2 linked regions of the Diceros bicornis minor genome follow. The protein of the gene in region 2 interacts with the protein of the main gene of each other region in a biochemical or structural test. Links are inferred from orthologs where the notes say so. Each region holds a gene or a part of one and is shown on either strand. Other genes may lie near its edges.

Region 1 (9,838 bases), about 17 Mb from region 2:
GGCAGGGGAGGCCTAGAGGGTCTGCGGGGGAGAGCTTGTCCTGCGGCAGCACCTCAGAGGGGCAGTGTGCAGGCACCCGGTGGCGTCCTGGCAACCAGCCTGTCCCCGGGTACTGTGGCCCGTGCACAGTACTGGCTCTTCCCAGTTCCCAGTCTGAGTGTCCCCAGAGAAGCAGCCAGAGGAGCTTGTGTCCCTGGGCACCTGAGTAGCCTCCTGAACGTTCCTTGTTGTACTCGCTTGTCTCTTTCAGCAGCAGCGCCGTGGCTCCACGAGCAAAGCCTGGGTGCCCGAGCAGCCGCCGTGGCAGCAGAGTGCAACCTGCAGAAAAGCTGATCGCCATCACGACAGAGATGGAGCGAACCTGTGTGCGTGTGTGCGCGTGTGCAGAGGAGGGAGTGCTGTGCCTGTTTGCGTGTGCATGCATCCGTTTACACTCTTGTGACTCTGAACGCTGCCCGGGCCGGAGGAGTCCCTGTAGCAGCTTCACCTCAGCCTCCAGACACCAGGCTAGAGGTCATGGCAGTGACTTTCAGCCCAGACCTGTCGCTGCCAGCCAGCTGCCCTGTCTGAATAGAAGAGCGGTAGGACTCTAGCTGGGATTCTGGCATCTGCCCCCCAGCACTCGCTCCCTCTTCACATCGGACTGGGGAGCAGGAGGACAACATTTCTGGCTCTTGTCCAGAGTGTGGGATTCTAGAGGCAGCCGGAGTCGTGCTGAGTTCCTGCTTCTGACCCTGGAGGCTGGAGTGGACTGATGCTGTTCAGACATAGCCACCTGGCCTGGCTTCTTTCTTATTTTAAAATTCCCCGCCACTGGGTCCTCCAGACCCTTCCTCGGGCATCTGGGACTGAGCACGAGGCTGTAGACAGATCTGAAACTTTCCACCATCATACAGAAGTACACCAGACACCTGACCGGTGTGCCGTATGCACGGTACTATAGATGGTAGCCCAAGAAATACATCTACCATTTTGGGGCTGAAAACCTGAGTTTGGAAATAGAATCCCAGCTCTCACTGTTCCTTCCCCAGAAGCTGAGGGCTAGCCTCTGAGCTGACTGTGGGGACTCGGTGCGTCCTCCAGGAGGAGGCCAGGTTCCTGGTGGTAGAAAGACCCCTGGCTCCTCTGGCCACACTCCAGGGCACCGTAGTGCTGCCGTTGAGGTCAGCTGACTCCCAGCCAGGGAAGCCATTCTAGTCTGTTCTGTAGGCTTCCAGGGCCTGCCTGGAACTGGTCAGCATCCAAGCTGCCACATCAGCTCTCCCAGTAGCTGGACACCAAGTCCCCAGGCAGGTGGATGCGGGTGGGGACTGCCAGGGACAGTTGGGAAAGGTCCAAGTAGAGATCCCACCCAGCGCGCCAACCCTTCCAGAAGCAGCAGGTGGGAGGTTTCACCCAGAGAAGCCAAGGCTTTGCATTCCAGGAGTGGCCTGTGCCTCCCGCCTCAGCCCTTCCACTGTTGGAGGCCTGTGTTGAGAAAGGTGTAATGAAGAGAGGACTGTGGGGTCAGCTGCAGCAAGTCTTCCTTCCATGTTATGGCCTGCACTTGAGCCACAAGTGTGTGTGTGTGTGTGCGCATGCGTGTGTGTGTGCGCGTGTGTGTGTGTGTGTGTGTGTGTGTGTGTGTGTGTGTGTGTGTACGTACAGGTGCGCACCTAGCCGAGAGGCTAATTCCTCTTTGGATTTTGTCCTCACGTGTAACATTAAGCTGGCCTCTGGGCCTTCTCTTCTCTACCTCCCCTGTGGCCTTTCCTAGCCTCACAGCTGTTAACTGCCTGGGCCCCAGCCCTGTCCCTCACTGTCCTCTGTCCTCGGACCAGAACCTGGGGTCAGGCCCCTGTCTCCTGCATCTGTCCAGCACACTGACAGGCTTCTTCCTGAGATGTCCTCAGGTTTTCTCAGCCAGAGAGCTGCCTTTAGAGTCCAACTGTTGTATGTATGTCACCCTCACTAGGAACGTCCCGTGATCGTGTCGGGGGAGCAGGGCACGGGTGATGATGTGTATTTGCAGCCTTGGGTTGGGGGCTGCCCTGTTCCCTTAGCCCCAGGCAGGAGGAAAGAGAATCGGGGGCTGTTGCCAGAAGAGTAGAGCGAGCCTGGAAGGCCTGGTTTGAGAAACAGAAGGGCAGAGAGCTTAGGGCCAGAGTCAGTATTTATTAACAGTACCTTCAAATATCAGGATGATTCCCTTTTCCTGCCTATCCGATGATGGCTCTCTTCCCTAAGGTACAAGTTGGCAGGACCACCTCCCCCTACTTGTGCACCACCCCTGGCATGCTGGTCCATTCCCCGTGGAATGGAAAAATCTGCTCCCAGAGCTGGGAGGGGCCGTGTGAGGAGAGAGTACATCCAGTGGCCTGGACCTCCACAATGGCTTGGTGCCTCCCCTCTCCTGGCCCAGGTATCCCTAAGGGCTGCCACAAAGCATTGCCCCAGATCCCGACCCAAGGGCCAGCATGGGGAAGAGATGGTCGCAGGCAAAATGCACTTTATACAGAGATTTTCTATTGCTGGGAAGGTGTGTTTCTCCCACAGTTTGTTTGAATAGTCACTTGTTTCATAAATGTCTCACCCTGTCTGAGCAAAGCTGTGCTGTCGTCAGTCTTGTGGGAGGGCTGGGGACTGGGAGTCAGTAAGGCTGAGCCACAGTAAGCCTTAGGCTAGGACACCTGGGTTCTGCTGGACCCAGGAGCCTCTCACCCTTCCTTGGAGGTGGCGAGGAGGGGGAAGGGGGGAGATGAAATGGGAGGCTCCTACATGAGCAACTGCAGCAGACCAGAGGCAGCTCCAGAGCTTGGTCAGAGTGGGGGTCCATCAGCCAAAGTGGTACACAGCACCCTGGCCCAGGGTGGGGTTCCTGATGGCTGTCCTGTGCTGACCCGGCCTCTCCGCCCACTTAGACCCCCCAGGCTGGGGATCAGTGGCAGGGCTCTCCAGGCCCTCAATCCATCCTTGCCTCAGCTCAGCCAGGTAAGCTGCAGCTGTGTGTGTGTGAGTGGAGGGAGTACAAGCCCTCTGGCTCTGGTAGGTGGTCGAGACCTGCCCATAGCCAAGCCGAGGTCCTGGATGCTGGCTTTCTCTCATGCCATCTGGCCAGAGAGTGGCCCCTCTGCAGTGTGCATGGGCTTTCCTGTAGGGGTTTCTAGCCTTGGACCACTGGGAGTGAGAGCTTTGTTAGCCCACACCCCAGCTTCCTGTGGGAAGGGGCTCAGGTAAGACCCAAGAATATCACAGGCTGCCCTGCACAGAGTGAGAAAGGGAAGAGGAACTCGAGCCTGGGACTCATCTCCTTTTTCACCCTGCTTTGAAGCTTCTGCTGGCCCCCTTTCCACCAAGACCTGGGCCTAACCTTCCCTCTCCCTTCTCCTGGCTTCTCTCTAATGTGATTTTGGCTTGGCTGTGGGAGCTAAGACACCTTTGTTCTTGAGCAAAAGGTTCTGGAAGATAGAGTTGTCCTACACACACACTCCTGAGCTCCTGAGGATGCTCCCTAGTTGAGACAAGCACACATTCTAAGGAACAGTGATTAGCCACTGTGACAAAACTGCTTTCCTGGGAGGAAAAGCCAGGCACCATAGCAGCAGATGGCTACTGTTTGGGCCTAGTGAAGGGAGCCTGAGCCAAGACAGCAGGAAAGATAAAATGGCCACCCGTCTGGGCCCAGGGGCAGAAAGAAGAGAGGCGGCCAAGGCCTTTGGCTCTAGGTACTGGGCTGTTCTCAGGGCTGGAGCTGGGGGGCTGTTTACTGCAGGACAGGTGCCTGCAGCTGCTCCCTGGGTGCTACATTGAAAGAAAAGGGGGCTGGCGTGACCAGTTGGCAGTTGAGATTTGCAAATAGGATTCTACAAGCTGTGAAACTGTTTACTCTGCCCCTTCTTCAGAGAGAGAGGTGAAGGACAGGGCCTCTGCGGTTCTGTCAGGTGGCCAGAGAAGCCAGTGAGGTTTGGCCAGAGACTCTAGGAGCCACCAAAGCTGGGGCCCTGGCCTTGGCCAACAGCCTGAATGTCTAGCAGTCCACACTCTGAAAAACTCACAAGCTGAACCCTCTGAGGGGAGAGAAGATCAAGAGGAAACCATGGCCCACACCTAGCACGGGCAGAGGTGCTGGAGGAAACAGAAAAACCACCAAAAGAATCCCAAGAAGTCTGGGGCCAGCCCTGTGGCTTAGCGGTTAAGTGCGCGCGCTCCGCTGCTGGTGGCCTGGGTTCGGATCCCGGGTGTGCACCCACGCACCGCTTCTCCGGCCATGCTGAGGTGGTGTGCCACATACAGCAACTAGAGGGATGTGCAGCTATGACATACAACTATCTACTGGGGCTTTGGGGAAAAAGAGGAAGAGGATTGGCAATAGATGTTAGCTCAGAGCCGGTCTTCCTCAGCAAAAAGAGGAGGATTAGCATGGATGTTAGCTCAGGGCTGATCTTCCTCACACACACACGCACACACAAAGAATCCCAAGAAGTCAACTGTGGGGGCAGGAGGAAAGGTCCCAAGTCTTAGAATGTAAGAAGCCAGCTATGGGGTGTCTGTGGGTGCAAAAGAGGGGTGCTTTTCAGGAAATGCAACTGAGGTGCTAAGTGAGAAGAAGGAGTAATCTGGGAAAGTCCCTACATGAGGGAGAAGCTGAGAGACAAGCCAAGAGGGGCTCAGTTCACCATTAGTAGCTGTTTGAGGCTGAAGGGGGGCTTGGCTCAGTCTTTAGAGAAGAGACCCTCTAGGGGAGAGTCCTTGGAAGGGTCCCATCGAGGTAAGGGGACAAGATGGAGTGAGACCTGGATCCCAGAGGGAAGTGGGGTGTCCCAGCCTCCGATGACAACACATTTTACGTTTCATTCTCACAACAAATGTGAGAGGGACCATTATTGTCCCCATTTCACGGATGAGAAAACCAACCTCAGGACTATTAAGTCATTAGTGCAAGGCCACACCACCTATGCACTTGGGGAGCCAGGCTGTGACTTCACACCACCTGACTCCAAACCTGTCTGCTCTAGGACCTGTCCTGACACACTCTCGGCTTCCTCCATGACCCTCCTTTCCTGTGTGCCACCTTTGTCTGCTGCGGGGGGCCAACTAGGGCCCTGGGGACCCGGATCCTGCCAGTAGTTACCTGATACCCAAGCTCTAGGCCCACCCTGAGGGGCCGAGGGGAGTGCTTTGCGGGAGGGGGAAACGAGGCAGAGGAGCAGTGTGGGACTGAGGGCGGGGCGGGGCCAAACCCGGGAGCCGCGACTTCAGCACCTCGGAGAGCGCCGGCGGGGCGGGGCCCGCGGGCCGGGGGCGGGCCGGGGGCGGGGCGCAGAGACGGCGGGGCCCCGGGGCGCGCGGAGGCGCTCGCGCCGGAGCCGAGAGCGGCGCGCGGTCGAGCCGCGCCCTGCCCTGCGCAGGTGCGCCTGCCGCGCCCGCCCCAGCCCGAGCCCCGCGGCGGCGGCGGCCTCTCGCCGCGACCCCGCCTCCTTCCCCGCCGCCGCCGCCGTCGCCGCCGCCTCCGCGCCGCGCTCCGCCCGGATGGCCAGGGCTGTGCCGGAGAATGGCGGAGCGAGAGAGCGGCGGCCTGGGCGGGGGGGCCGCGTCCCCGCCTGCCGCCTCCCCGTTCCTGGGGCTGCACATCGCGTCGCCGCCCAATTTCAGGTGAGAATCCCCGGCCGCCGCGCCGCGCCCCGCCCTTTGGCCCCGACTGATCTGCCCCGGCTCCCCTCCCCCCGGCCCCGACACCCACACCCCAGACCTCGGGAACCGGAGGGCGGCGTGGGGATGGGGTCTCTTCCCCGGACAGAGGCCCCAGAATCCCCCTCAGCCTCCAGTCCAGACTGATCGCCGCCGCGTATCCCTGGTGCAGCTCCCTCCGCCATTCCATGTGCTAGGCTAGAAGATTCTGAGGTGGAATTGGAGGAGGGGGCGCGGAGGCCGCCGTCTTTCCCACTTGGGGGCGGCGGCGGGGCCTGGTGGGGTCTGGAGTGAGATCTCCGAGGAGGCAGGTAGGCTGGGGCTTTGCCTGTGGCCAGTCCGAAGGCTTCTGAATAGAGATGGAAGCAGGCTGGGGTGCCCCGCGGGTCCCAGTTTCTTGGTGCTGGAAGAAGGGAGTCGTGGGCCCTTCCCCCAGCCCTGCCTGGCCAGAGGGGCCTAACTCCCAGGAGCCTCTGTGGATTTGGGCAAGCGCTGACCTGGTCAGGTGTGTGCAGGTGCGGAAGGCTCAGCCTCAACCCGGAGATCCTAGGCCCCCCTGTGGGAGGGGGAGTCTGGTTTGGATGGCCCCGGAGTAGCGAGGAACATGGGGGCCAGGTCCCTGCTGGGGTAAGTACCCAGGACCCTGATCTGAGCTCCCCCTTTACCCCCCTCCTTGAACCTTTCTGATATTAGGTCGTTGGGAAGTGGATTTCAGAGCAGTGGACAATGGATGTTGTGGGGGAAGGTCCTTCCCCCATAATCCTGGCCCCAGTTGGAGAGGAGGAAGAGGAGGGTGTAGCTGCTACAGTACCTAGGAGAAGGAGGCCTAGACGAACCGCATTGTCTCTCCATCTAATGAGCTGGCGCCTTCCCCTCTCCTGGGGCCCCCACCCCAGCCAGGCCCCAGCTGGGCCCTGGCGCCTACCCCTCTTCTGACCAGGGGGTTGCTGGCTCCCTGGCCCTCAGGTGGGCAGGGGCCCCTGGGGATCTCTAATGGCATCATCAGGACTAGAAATCTCCCCGAGGCTCTGAGCTGAGCCGGGAAGACCAGAAGGAGGGGACCAGATGGAGGAGGCCAAGCCTGAAGGCTGGAGGGCTGGGGTCTTTGTGGTTAGTGCCTCAGAGTACCAGGCTGACGTCTGAGACTGACTCCACCTGACATGATACACACTGCCTTCCTACCAGGAGGCCCCTCTGCAGTGGAAAAGCATGGAGCTCAGAGGGACCTGGGTTCAAATCCTGGCTCCACCACTTTCTAGTTGCATGACCTGGGTGATTTTGTCCTCTCTGAGTTCCATCTGTTAGGTAAGCTAATTAATATTGATTCCTTAATGTATATCAAGTCGGTGCTCCACCAGGGTCAGCCCCCGTGTTAGCCGGCATTTATATAGCTCATTACCATTCAAAGCGTTTTCCCAGAGCTGGCTCATTTAACTCTCACAACCACCCTGGGCTGGGTATCGGTCTGCCCATTTTATAGATGAGGAGACTGAGATTCAGAAAGCAGGGGACTTGCCTGAGGAACCCGAGGATGTCAGAGCCTGAGGCTGGACTGGAACCCAAGTCTGTGTGTGTTCAGTCCACTCTACCTCCAGGCCCTGCTTCTGGCCCAGAGGGCAGCTTTGCCCACCCTGCCCCCCCATCCCCACGTGACAGAGGACAGAGCACTCCATCCAGCCCTGCCCCTGGCTGTCAGGTCACCATGGACACGTCAGCAAGAGGAGCTGACGTGGCAGATGCCAGCCAGTGAGTGTATCTGGCCCTGGGCCTGGTGGGCGCAGGTGGCAGTACGCCAAGGCTGTGGTGTGGGCCGGCCCTCCAGGACACCGTGGCCTGGCCGTGGACAAGGCCAGCTTGTGGGAATAATCAGGGCCGTGTCTCCAGCCCCACGTGACCTACCCCGCCTGCCCTGGCAGCCCCCGCTGCCCTTTCCCTGGGCCCAACTTGGTTTAACCCAGGGTGGTTACTGCTCTCTCGTGGCTCTTTGGTGGGGTCGTGGATCTGACTCAGCTGGGTTTGAGTCCTGGCTCGGCCTTCTTAGCCATGTACCAAGACTGGGCACTTGACCTTCTGAGCCTATTTCTTCTCCGTGATGCCGGCTTTAGCACCTGCTCAGGGTAGTCCTAAGACTCGGATGAGAGGGCACATGTTGAGTGTTTCAAGGGCTGTGGAAAGCTGCATTCATACAGGGCTGTTTTTTTAATATTGTTGTTATTATTGTGTGGGTACCCTCAGCACCACTGTCAGCTTCCAAAAGGCATAAGAAGTCAACACCTAAACTTTGGTTTGCCCAATGGCTGGCACAGAGTAGGTGCTCGGTAATGCCTTAGCGGTTTCTTATTTAATGAGGGAGGAACCCGGATGCTGGTGTCCTGGAGTACAGAGAGTAGCAGGGCCTGCTCTCAGGGAAGAACAGTGGGAAGCACTGGCCCTCGGGACCGTCTCTTCCCCAGGCACCACTCTCGGTGCTTTCTGTGCAAGAGCATTTAGTCCTCACCAGAACCGTACAAACAGAGTGTTATTACTATCCCCACTCTACAGATGAAGAAACTGAGGCATAAAGAGGTTAGGGAAGTGGCAGAGCTGGGGTTGGAACGCAGGCAATCTGATTTCAGAGCCACGCTGAAAGGAGGGAGCCCTGGCACACTGGGGGAGACTTTGTGGAGGGGTGACCCAGGCGTGGAGCTGGAGGGGTGTCGAGCGTTCGTCTGTTGGTAGTTGGTTTGAATAAATATGTGTTTGTTTCTGATTATAGAAATGCGCCAACCAGTGACTAGTAGTTCCCTCCGAATATGGTATGAGGGGAGGGATTTTCACTTGTTTTACATACTTCTGTATTATTTGACTTCTTATTTCTATAACAAGCATAGGTTAATTCTGTAACTTACAAAATAATAAAAGAAAATTCCAAACTAAAGTGATACATGTTCATTATAAGGAAAACTCTAGAAAAGAGATTTAGAAACTTATGCAATGAATACATTGAGCTGGGACGGGGGACGACAGGGAGGGACAGTGGGACAGTCCATGGGGGAGGGACAAAGGATGCTCGCAGAAAGTAAAGCGAGCAGCCTGCCCTGGCTGTGTGGAAGAGGAGTTGGGGATGAGAGAGACCTTAGAAATCAGCTCATCCAAACTACTCCCCTCCCCTTTTACTTAGGAGAAGACAAGAGAGAGTGAGTGGCTTCCCTGAGAACACACAGCAAGTCAGTGGCAGAGCTGGGACAGAACCCGGGCCTCATAACTCCCTGGATGGAGTTCTCTGCACCCTACCACACCGCCTCAGGGATGAGAGATGAGGTCACTGAAGAGCGCAGGGACCTCCTTATTCATCTCTTCATGAGGTCGTACGCGCTTGGCTGTTCCTTTATTCACTCAACAAATATATGCACTTTGCCAGGCTCAACAGAGAGACACTCCAGAGGCACAGACATGGGCCTGGCCATGATGCAGGTGACAGTGTAGGAGGGAGACAGACAGACAAGGCCGTACAAGACAGGCTGGTAGGTGTGATGGTGACCCAGGTGAGGGGCCGGGGGAAGCCAGGCCCTGTGCCTCAGGAAGGGTTCATCTCAGCTTGAGAAGAAGTGAAGCAGCATGGTCTGGGGCAAGTGGAGGGCGGGCAGGCAGGAACCCGTAGGCCGTGTTGAGACACTGGCCTGTCCACGAACAAGCAGTGGGAACCAGCAAGGGTTTAGGAGGCAGGGAACGACAGCCTTGGATGCCATCTTGGGATGATCACTCTGGCTGCTGGGTAGAGAGTGGACGGGGAGGCAGGGAGACCACTGGGAGACCGGCCATCCCGCTGGCGAGAAGGAGGGGTGGGGAGGATGTGAGGAAGATTTAGAGGTTGGTTAGCCCACTTGGTGAGGGAGCTGGTGCAAGGGGTAGATAGGGGAGAGACAGGAGTCCAGGCTGACGCTATGCCCCCTGGGGATGGGGTGCCCTGTGGAAGATGAGAGGTTTGGCGAGCAAGGCGGTGAAATCTTTAGGAGACCTGCTGAATCTGAGGCTGGTGATGGTTGGGAGACCCAACTGGAAGACTCAAGCAGGCAGTTGGCTTGGGGTCTGGAGCTCAGAGGAGAGGATTGGCCTGGGGCCAGAGACCCTGGGAGTCTCATCTCAGAGAGAGAGAGAGACAGCCATTGAAGCCTCAGAGGGAACATTGCTA
Region 2 (10,086 bases):
ACGGAGAGCCAGACACTCAGTCCTGCCTCTGGAGGTGGCCCTCAGCTGTAACAGGACAATGCCTAACCCATATGATGGTTAAGGAAAATCAACGTATCAGGCAGGGGCAAGTGGGGCTTCTGGGTGCCGCTCATGGGGCTGTTTGTGGCTATGGGTGTTAGATGCATGGGTGCTCCTTGTATGACTGTTTTTTAAACTCTTGAGTCTGTTCTATGCATTCTCAGTACTTCTGTTATTACTAAGCTGACAGCATAAGTTACATCCAAATTAAAGTACTTTTAGGAGTGCAAGGGGGCACGATGAATAACTCTGCTGAGATGACAATCGTGAGCAGAGCGCCCTGAGCTATCCCCACATCAGGTACCCGGCACAAGGAGCAGCACAGTCATGTCTGGTTAAGTTTTACGGCGCCTTCTGCAGATATCATTGCTGACATCCATCATCTCACTAACTGTGGCCCCCCAAAATAAAAAAGATACTCCAAACATGTTAGTTACATAAGCAAATAAGGGACCTCTTGAGCCACTCAGATCCACAGCCTGCACACCCTGTGCGAGCCATCAAAGGTCAGGACAGGCACCTTAGGGGCCCGAGAGCCCTCACTCAGAGAGGCCTGTCAATCCCGGTACCTGGGCAAGTGCTCAGTGATCTGCTCCCCACCACTGCCCCCCTCCTGCAGGTCCTTCCCCAGCCTCTGGCTCCTCACCTCTGGGATCTCCAGGGGCACTCGGCGCACCTGCATGCCCTGCAGAACCACAGGCCTCGGCTGCAGCAGGTTGAGGCCACCCGCCGCCTCAGGGACATCAGCCGAGTGGAAGCTGGAGGAATGCGAGTGGCGGTCCCTGTGGGAACGACAGCCATGAGGGTGGGGACCACTGGTGTGCCCTGGAATGGGGTGGGGTTGAGCCCGAGGCACGGCCATGACTGGGGGCTCCAGGGGACTCAGATACACCAGAAGCAGCACAGGGGGGTGCAGAATAGGCAGGCGGCAGAAGTGCCCTCCTCCCAGGTCCTGGGCTTCCTAGAGGGCCCTGGAAGCCTTCTGCTTGAAATATTGTGTCCTGACAGCATCAAGGGATCCCTACAGGCCCGCCCTTCACTGCTCCCCACCCTCCTCTACTCCTAGAGATTCTGAGCTGCCCCTGCCCCAGCCCAGCGAAGGAAAGAGACAATCCTCAGAAATGGCAGTCCACCAGGCTGCTGGCCTGGGAGAGCCTCTTTTGGGAGACTCACCAGGCTCCATTGGCTGCCTGTTCCCCCTGCTGCCCTACAGGGTTCTCGTAGCCGCCTCCAGCCAGGCCAAAGGTGTAGGAACGCCGCACGCCTTGGGCAGGGGTGTGGGACACAAGACAGCACATGAGCAACAGGAGCACCAGGGCCCAACCCAAGGCCATCGAATGAGGAAAAACCCTGTGCTGTGTCCCCCTGAATGGCAGCCCAGCCCCTGGGGACCAAGAGCTGGAGAGGAGTGGGTCCGTAGGTTAAGGGCCGGGCCCTGCACTCTGCCCATCCTGGGTTTGGATCCCCATTCTACCACTCGCTCAGCCTGTGCCTCAGTTTCCTCAACAGCAGAGCAGCAATGATGAGGCTACTCACACCTCACCACGGGGCTGAAGTATGCACTCAACAGAGCGAGCACTGCCGCTGAGATGACAAAGACCCTCAGCGGAAGAGAAAGGGGGCGCTGGGCCAGCCAGGGTCAGAGGCTTGGCAGGGGCTCACCACTCTCATCGTAGAAGTAGTGCACGGCGCCCTCAGAGGTGTCATCAAAGGTGCAGGCCTCGTGGACGTTGGCGCCGGCCCGGGTGAGCAGCAGCGAGGAGGCGAAGTGCAGGGCAGAAGGCAGCGTCAGCGCGCGGGAGTGGGAGGCAGCCCGGCCGCGCTGAGCCTCCTGCAGGCTGCTGGGGAGGGGTCAGCCTATGGGTCAGCACTGCTAAGAGCCAGCCGGCCCCCACCGTGCCTCTCTAGCCAGCAGGTGCTCACCTGGGTGGCGAGCCCATGACGGAGGCTGGAGGGGTGGGGTTGCTGCCTGCATTGTGGCGCCTCCGGATGGCCTGGGTCCGCCTCACACCGCTCAAGCACTCCCGTTTGCCAGTCTCCTCAGCCGCTGCCCAGAGAGACCCCCAATCATGAGTGACAGAGGCTTAAATACACCCTGAGAGCGGGGAGCAAATGCTCCTACATGGAGCCAAAGGCCAGGCCTGCCCATAGTCCAACTGTGCCCTGCCTCTAGGGTCCAGCCGGGTCACCTAACTACTTGTGCCTCAGTTTCCACATTTGGAAATGAGGACGTGACCTCCCCCACCCCAGTGGTGGCCCAGAAAAATGAATGTGGATGCAGGTAGTCCTCAAAGGGCAGAGACTTCGCACTAACTGCAGGACCTGGAGCCAGGTGTCTGAGGTCTTTCTGCCTCGGTCTCCCCATCGTTGGAGCCCTGCTTATCTGAGAGGTTTGGCAGATGCCACTCAATCGCTGCATCTACAACTGTCTGTTCTCCGACACAGAGGCTGAGCTGACGGTGACCAGATGCACTCCAGCCTGTCCCTCACCCAAACCCAAGCCCCTATCTGGCTCGCCTCCTCACCCCAGCCCTGGAGCTGGCACTCACCTCCCCCCACAGCACCTTCCTCCTGCAGCTCCCCCCGCCAGCCGGGCTGGTTGGCAGCAGGTCCCCTCCGGGCCTCAGCGGGCAGCAGAGCAGGCTCACCAGCAGCCAGCTCCACCCCTGCCTGGGCCTCCAGCTCAGCCTTGGAGCCAGCCAGGGGGGCCCTCAGAACATCACCCGCTGCCCCATCCATGCTCAGCACACGGGCATGCGTTTTGGCGCTGGCAGTACTAGGCGTCCGCTGGGTCCCATAGGGCCGCTTTGGGGGCACAGCAGTCCCCTCCTCAGCCCCGTGGGGGGCCCGTCGCTTCCGGGCTCCCCCTGCTGCACCCCGGGAGCTCTCGGGGGAGTAGCAGGAAGTAGAAGAGGAGCTGTCAGTACTATAGCGGCGCTGAGATCGGAGACTGGAGGCCGGGCTCAGTTCACTGCCCTCGCTGGTGTCTTCATCCTCAAAGAAACCCCCACCTTCAAGCAGGGGCCGCCGAGGGGCACGGCCAGGTGGGGAGTGTCTTCGCATGGGCGGCCGCCGTTTGCCAGGCCGCAGCAGGGCCAAGTCCTTGGGCCGCACGACCAGGAGTGGCTCAGCCAGGCCCGGAGGTGTCCCTGCTCCTATGACTGTGTCAAAGGAACGCAGCGTGTCATCTGAGGGGACTCCAGCATCTGGTGAGGCGGGCAGCTCAGCCTCAGAAGGTGGGTCTGTGTCACTGCCCTCAGGCGCCTGCCCACCGGGGGGGCTGTCCAGGTGGGTCGAGTTGGTCTTCTCACTCTTGAAGCTGCTCAGCGTCTCCCTGTCAGTGCCACTGAAGCAGGAATCTGAGGAGCCAGCTTTCTGGGGCATGGGCTCCCCCGAGCCCCGCCGGTCCAGGGGCTGGTAGCCGCCTGCTCCCCGGCGTTGTTCCCGTCGACTGCTGGTCCTCACCAGGGCCCGGTCAGGCCGGGTCAGGGTCAGAAAGCTCTTGCTCAGCTCCTGGCTGAGGCTCCCCTTCAGCAGGGGGCTCATGGGAGTGTCAGCCACACTGCTCCCACTCCAGGGGGCTCCATCTCCAGCCAGGGGAGAACGTTCTGAAGAGTCCGTGCTGGGGAGAGAGGGGTCTGGGGCAGCTCCCGGGGGCGTCTGGGGAAGGTCTCCAACTATCAAAAAGAAAAAAGACAGCAAATGACAAAAAGGCATGCTACAAAAGGAACGGGTGGCTAAGCGGTTCCCACGGCCTCTCCTTTCCAAGAGCCCAGGTGGGACAGGACACTGAGGCGGCCCCATCCAGGAGGACACAGAGAGGCCCCAGGGAGCAAAACCTGGGGTGACAGAGACAAGATGGCTAGTCTTCCCCCAAAGCCCCTGCCATATCGCACTCACTCAGTTTCTCCTGTGAACTTAACTTCAGCATCTCTCGGTCGGCTGAAGTCACGATCACATTGTTGCTGCCCTGCTCCCGCACCAGCTCCTTGATGTCTGCAACCACGGCCCCAGAGCCGTCAGCAGGACCTCGAGGCATCCGCACGCCATCCCCTCTTCCATACCACCACCACCTTGAGCTCTGAGCAGCAACCACCTACCTCTGAGGAGTCCAGAGTCCTCCATTCGGGGCAGCAACTCCTGAGCAGGCAGAGAGAGCCGTGAAGGAGCAAACAGGGCAAAGAGTAGGCTCAGGACACACCCACAGTGGGGACGAGCTCCCAAGAGTGCGAGAGGCTGAGGGCTGGGACCACTCACCGAAACCTGGTTGAAGCCAAACACAGAATGCTGGGAGCTACAGCGCACTGGGGGTGTGGAACTCACTTTCCGAAACACTGTCATCTCCACTCCAGGGTCCCTAGCAGTGGAGAAAAGCATGAACTTTGAGCTAACCTCCCCTCTTTATACGGTACTTCCTCCCCCATCCCCATCATTCCTCCCTTCTCAATGGTGCCCTTAAAAGTCCCCTTACACACGTAGTGCTCGATAGCTCAAAGAGCCAAGGTTCCCTAAGCCCCTCCTCCATCCTCCAATGCTCAGGCCCAGACACCAAGACCCCTCAATTCCCAAACAGCCACTGCCCCACCCACCTGGGCAGACTGCTGTCCCCCTGGGCGGGCTCTTCCTCCGGCTCTCCCATGGTAGAGTTGCGCTTCTCCACAATTTCGCCCTGGTCGAACATAGCGTGCAGCCGATAGTTCACAGTCTTGATGGTAGCAAAGATGACAGCCACCACAAGGCAGTACACGCCGGCCACCATCAAACTGGGGGGCAGGACCTGGAGGTGACAGCAAGTCAGGTCCTTCCTCACACAGCCCTACCCCCATGGGCTGGACCTACCACCAGTTATGGCTAGGATTCACAAATTCACAAGAAAATTTCATCATCCCTCCTTGGCACCAGTACAAAAATCCTGTTACGGATCTCTATCTTCCGACTGGAGAGAGAGATTAAGTGAGGGGCTCAAGGTCACCCAGCCCAAGAAGGGATGCATTTGGCCTCTCCTCCACACACTCCAAACTCTGCAGATTCCTCTCTCCACACGCCAGCGCCCAAAGCACAGCCCCAAATCCGTACCAGGTAGTCAACCCGCTGTGACATCTGCCCTCCCTTTCCCAGGCGGGATTTACAGGTGGCGGCAGCATCTCACCATGTACAGCAAGAAGGGAAAGGTGAGCAGGAAGATCCAGACATAGAGATGGAAGCAGTTGGAGAAGGTGCTCTGGTGCGGGTCGAAAAACCAACCGCCGGTGAGAGAGGCCCACACCCCCTGGCGCAGGATCTGCAATACCTGCGACCCCATGGCCCCGCCGCTGCTGCGCGCGCCCCCCTCCCGGGACCCTCATGGGGGCGGCCCCCGGCCCATGCCCCGCCTGGCGCCCGAGGGCCCCGGGGCCCGGCCTCGCGCTCACGCCATGGCCTCCCCCAGCGGGGGAGAGGGGTCGCCCGGGGAAGGTGCGGGCAGGGGGCGGGGCTAGCCGAGACGGTCAACCGTGCGAGGCTCGGCTGCGGGGGTGGAGCCGCATCAGGGGCGGGGTCTGGGCCCCCACCGCCGGCCCAGAACTGCTCCGAGGGGCCGAGCCGGCAGGCAGGCGCGGGGCACGGGCCGGGCACCAGTCGGCGGCATCCAGAGGTGGGCGTGGGGCGGGTGCTCCTGGGGTGCAGGCGACGGCTCCGGCCCCAGGAGAGCCCGGAGACCCTGAGGTCCACTTCCGGGGTCACAGGTCACTTGCTTCGGGCTCCGCGTTCGCCCCGCTTCTGCGGGAGCCGGCCCGAGGGGGAGGCCGGAAGGAGCCGCGAGCCGCCAGCCTGCAATGGCGCATGCGCACGACGGGCCCAGTTGGGACCCGGAAAAGGAAAACCGGACGGCATGAATGCGCAAGCGCAGGGAGGTGGTGGAGCCATAAAAAACGGCGGAGCCGGGTGTGCGTGCGCAAAGTCTAGGTCTGAGGGGAAAGACGATGCAAAGGTGGAAGGCCTTGGGCGCATGCGCACACCTAAGCCGAGCCAACCTAGCAGAGACCACTGGGCGAAACCGAAGGGATAGTTGGGTGGCCATTGGTTAACGGCGGCGTTAGTTGGCGTAAAGCTCTCCTGGTGATTTACAGGAGGCGGGGAAAAGGATGGAGGCGTGGACTCCCCAGGGTACGGCGAGAGTTCTGCGCTCTGGAAGCACACCCCTCTTGTGCTGGACCTCAAACGTCATGAGCGTCTCTCGGCCCGAGGGGCCTCTACTTCCGGGTCAGAACTCCGACCTAGAGTGGGGCGGGCGGGGGGGAGAGACCCTCCAGAACAGGCAGGAATAGTCGAAATAGGATAGCGTCGTTTTTCTTAAAGTGACAGGCTCAAGGCGCTTGGGGCTAAACCAGCGGTTGTGAGGGCGACTTAGCTATTCTGAATCCAATCACTGGGCAGATTTCGGGACAACAGTCTCAGGTTTCTGCCCACTGGGGAAGGGTCATGAAGAAGTGGATTGTTTCCCAAGTGAGGAGAGCCTTAGACAACCCCTTCCAAGAGCTTGAGGTGCAGCCAGTTTCTTCCTCCTCGCATCTGCCCTTCCCCCATCCCACTAGCTGTGCAAAGCGGAGCTTCTGGTCCGTATTTCAGATATGAAGAGCATGAGGCGCAGAGAGGATGGGGCACACAGTCCTGCAACTTCGTAGCCAAGAGCAGACTCAAGTTTGCCCCACTCCCAAACCAGGTTCTTGACCCCATTTTGCTGATGCGGATGTAGAGGGCGGGGATGGCCCGTCCTTAGCAGAGACCAACCTTGACCCTAAACCTGCCGTGATGGGGCGTCGGGCCTACCCTTCCCCTCGTTCTGCCCCTCTACGCCTGCCTACCCGGGAACTCCCCGGCCCAGCTGCCTGCAGCCTCTGGGAGGGGAGCGGTGCGACCCGCCCGCGTCATCTGATGCTGTTTCCTGCAGGAGGGAGAAGAGCGGAAAAAAGTGAAACTCCACCCTCCACCTCTGCCTCCCGCCCCCGGGGCCAAAGTACAAAGGGAGGAGGAAGAAGGGAACTGGGTTGGAGCCGTTGGGCTGCGGGAGCCGGCCGGGAAGAGGCAGCTCGGCCCAACTAGGAACACTCCAGCCACCTCCTGCGCAAAAAGACCCAAGCGGAGTCCAGGCGCTGCCCCTCGCTGGCTGCAGCTTACATTTGGTGGGTGCAGGAGACAGGCTCCCAGGACTGCTCCAGAACTGAGGGACGCCCGGGTCCCTCCGAGCCGGCCATGGTGAGACGCCGGAGGCCCCCGGGTCCTACCCCGGGAGCCTGACTACACTGCCCTGGGTCGCTCTCCCCTAGAAGCGCGAGATGCGGGGGGCCAGGAAGCGACACTCCTGGTTCCCCAGAGAGGCGTGGGTCTGGGGCTGAGGGCCAGGGCCCGGATGCCCAGGTTCCGGGACTAGGGCCTTGGCAGCCAGCAGGGGTGGGGACCAGGGACACCCAGGGAAGGTCCCCCACACGCCCCAACGCCGGCTCCCAGCCATGGAGCCCTTGAAGAACCTCTTCCTCAAGAGCCCGCTGGGGTCATGGAACAGCAGTGGCAGTGGGGGTGGTGGGGGTGGCGGTGGAGGCTGGCCGGAGGGGTCCCCAAAGGCAGCGGCTTATGCCAACCCTGTGTGGACAGCCCTGTTCGACTATGAGCCCAGTGGGCAGGACGAGCTGGCCCTGCGGAAAGGCGACCGTGTGGAGGTGCTATCCCGGGATGCAGCTATCTCAGGCGATGAGGGCTGGTGGGCGGGCCAGGTGGGCGGCCAGGTGGGCATCTTTCCATCCAACTATGTGTCTCGGGGCGGCGGCCCGCCCCCCTGCGAGGTGGCCAGCTTCCAGGAGCTGCGCCTGGAGGAGGTGATCGGCATCGGTGGCTTCGGCAAGGTCTACCGCGGCAGCTGGCGAGGTGAGCTGGTGGCTGTGAAGGCAGCTCGTCAGGACCCCGATGAGGACATCAGTGTGACAGCTGAGAGTGTGCGCCAGGAGGCCCGGCTTTTCGCCATGCTGGCACACCCCAACATCATCGCCCTCAAGGCCGTGTGCTTGGAGGAGCCCAACCTGTGCCTGGTGATGGAGTACGCGGCCGGTGGGCCCCTCAGCCGTGCCCTGGCAGGGCGGCGTGTGCCCCCCCACGTGCTGGTCAACTGGGCCGTGCAAATTGCCCGTGGGATGCACTACCTGCACTGCGAGGCCCTGGTGCCTGTCATCCACCGAGACCTCAAGTCCAACAACAGTGAGTTTTGGGGAGTGTGGTTGGAGGGTGGTATGGCCCAGGCACACACCTACTGCCAACTCAGCTGAGCCCACCTGAGCTGAGCTCTTGCCTTTGTGAGGGTCCTTTGTGCCCCAGCCCCAGGAGGAGTCCTTGACCTCAGCTTACAGCTGCCAAGTTAGAAAGTTGGGATCTCTCAGAGGGGCCATAAGCATCCTGCCTTGCCATGGCCACCACCTCAAGGAAGTAGAACGCTGGGTGCTGGCATTCTTCATCTCCCCTCCCCTGCCGTTCACACTTGTGCTGTTGGTGCCCTGCTCTCCCCTCCACCTGTGGTGGGCAGCTTCTCTGGAACAGACGTCTCAGAGGGGACAGCCCCCCGTGGTGGTCAAAGCTGGGGCCAGGGCTAGAATTCTGGCCCCACCCCTCCCCTGGGTGCATGACCTCTAGCTGGTTATTTCAACTGAGAGCCTCAATTTCAGACTGTGAAAAGGGAGTGACTGGGAGGGTGAAGTGGCTTAATGGACTAGGCAAGCCCTGGCATCCGATGCCTGGCACGCAGTGGGTCTTCAGCTATGGGTGTGGACATCTGAGGGCTGGATCACCAAAAGGGCCTCACCTGGCATCAGCACTTGGGGTGGGCGTGGCGGGGCTGAAGGAGACTGGAGCAGCCAGGCACTCCATCTCCCGCCATTTCAGGCCGTGCAGCTGCCCAGCATGGGCCCGAGACAAGCGAGGGACAGGTTCAGAGGGCTTCCTGTAGCAGGCAAGCTTCGTACCAGGCCAAAAGCAGGCAGTGTTCAGAGAGGCCCCCAGTTGTTGGCAGGGCCTGACAAGGGCGAAGGCGAGGAGGCAGGCCCCAGCACAGCAGTGGGGACACGGGCTGGGCCTGCTGGGGCCCAGGGTGCAGGCGATAGAGCAAAAGTAAGTGCAAGAGGGGCCAGTGGGGTTATAGGAGAGGCATGGGTGGCTCTTGGAGGGGTGAGCATGGATATTTTGAGCCTCCTAGCCTGGGCTATCTGTGGACAAGGGGCTGGGGGGAGCAGAACACCAGGACCCAATGCCATCCACATCAATGTTAGGGCTGGAGGGGCCGAGGGAGGCCTGCCAGCCACCCACTCACTCCTCTCACCCACAGTAAGGGACAGTTTCCAGCCTCAGCCTCACTCCTGGGCCCTAGCCGTCTAGGGACCCCCACTCCCTGCCCCAGCCTGAGGGGGATTCCCCGAAGGCCCAGGGGGGAGGGGACTCCGTCTTCTGTTTTTCCTCTAGTTTTCTTTCCAGAGAAAATGGAACAATAGCCCAGGGCCCTGCTCCCCACCCTCCCCACTGCTTCCTGCGTTTCCTGCTGCCCCTGAGCCGGCTTCCTGCCCCTGCTCCAGCCTCTGCTCCCTCCCCAGCCCAGCTGCCTGCAGGGGAGGAAAGAGCTGGGGGTGGGGGGTTTGTAGGAGAGGAAGGAGCCAGGGATTGCACCCCCACTCCCCCCAGTTCCCCTGCTTCCCTCCCAGAGTCTGGCTGGTGGTGAAGGGCAGGCAAGGTGCCCTCAGCCCCCCTAAGCCTGGCCTCCCACCTCGCAGACCCCAGTCCTAGGCCCCGGGTGCCGTCTGCGGGATTGGTGGGGGGAGTCCCTGGGCTGGGGGGGCGCAGGCAGGAAACAATGGCGTGATTTTCCTGGACAATGGGGGCCTTGTGAGGAAGCCTGGTGGGGAGAGGAGGGGGAATTCTCCAGGCCCACGAGTCACAGGACTGACCAGCCAGCCCGGCCTGGGCCTGACCTCCCTCAATTCTCCCCCCAAAGGCCCCCCCCCCAGTTGGAGACCT

The links. The genes of interacting proteins can lie anywhere in the genome.
Region 1: the proteins of MAP3K11 (region 2) and MAPK8IP1 form a complex in vitro, tested with the Homo sapiens proteins (2 studies listed by BioGRID). The link is inferred for Diceros bicornis minor from reciprocal best matches to the Homo sapiens genes MAP3K11 and MAPK8IP1.

The regions. Positions count from the first base shown.
Region 1 is NC_080770.1:24,293,070-24,302,907, reverse strand, and holds the start of MAPK8IP1 (C-Jun-amino-terminal kinase-interacting protein 1), read left to right. Parts: upstream 1-5,472; 5' UTR 5,473-5,530; coding exon 5,531-5,631; intron 5,632-5,639; exon of another isoform or gene 5,640-5,978; intron 5,979-6,360; exon of another isoform or gene 6,361-8,584; intron 8,585-9,838. UniProt on the Homo sapiens protein: The JNK-interacting protein (JIP) group of scaffold proteins selectively mediates JNK signaling by aggregating specific components of the MAPK cascade to form a functional JNK signaling module. Required for JNK activation in response to excitotoxic stress.
Region 2 is NC_080770.1:7,592,283-7,602,368, forward strand, and holds the start of MAP3K11 (mitogen-activated protein kinase kinase kinase 11), read left to right. Parts: upstream 1-5,882; 5' UTR 5,883-6,204; exon of another isoform or gene 6,205-6,300; intron 6,301-6,360; exon of another isoform or gene 6,361-6,988; 5' UTR 6,989-7,547; coding exon 7,548-8,286; intron 8,287-10,086. Other genes in the region: PCNX3 (pecanex-like protein 3), read right to left, coding at 707-842, 1,234-1,324, 1,723-1,901, 1,984-2,107, 2,610-3,737, 3,961-4,056, 4,161-4,200, 4,318-4,417 and 2 more. UniProt on the Homo sapiens protein: Activates the JUN N-terminal pathway. Required for serum-stimulated cell proliferation and for mitogen and cytokine activation of MAPK14 (p38), MAPK3 (ERK) and MAPK8 (JNK1) through phosphorylation and activation of MAP2K4/MKK4 and MAP2K7/MKK7.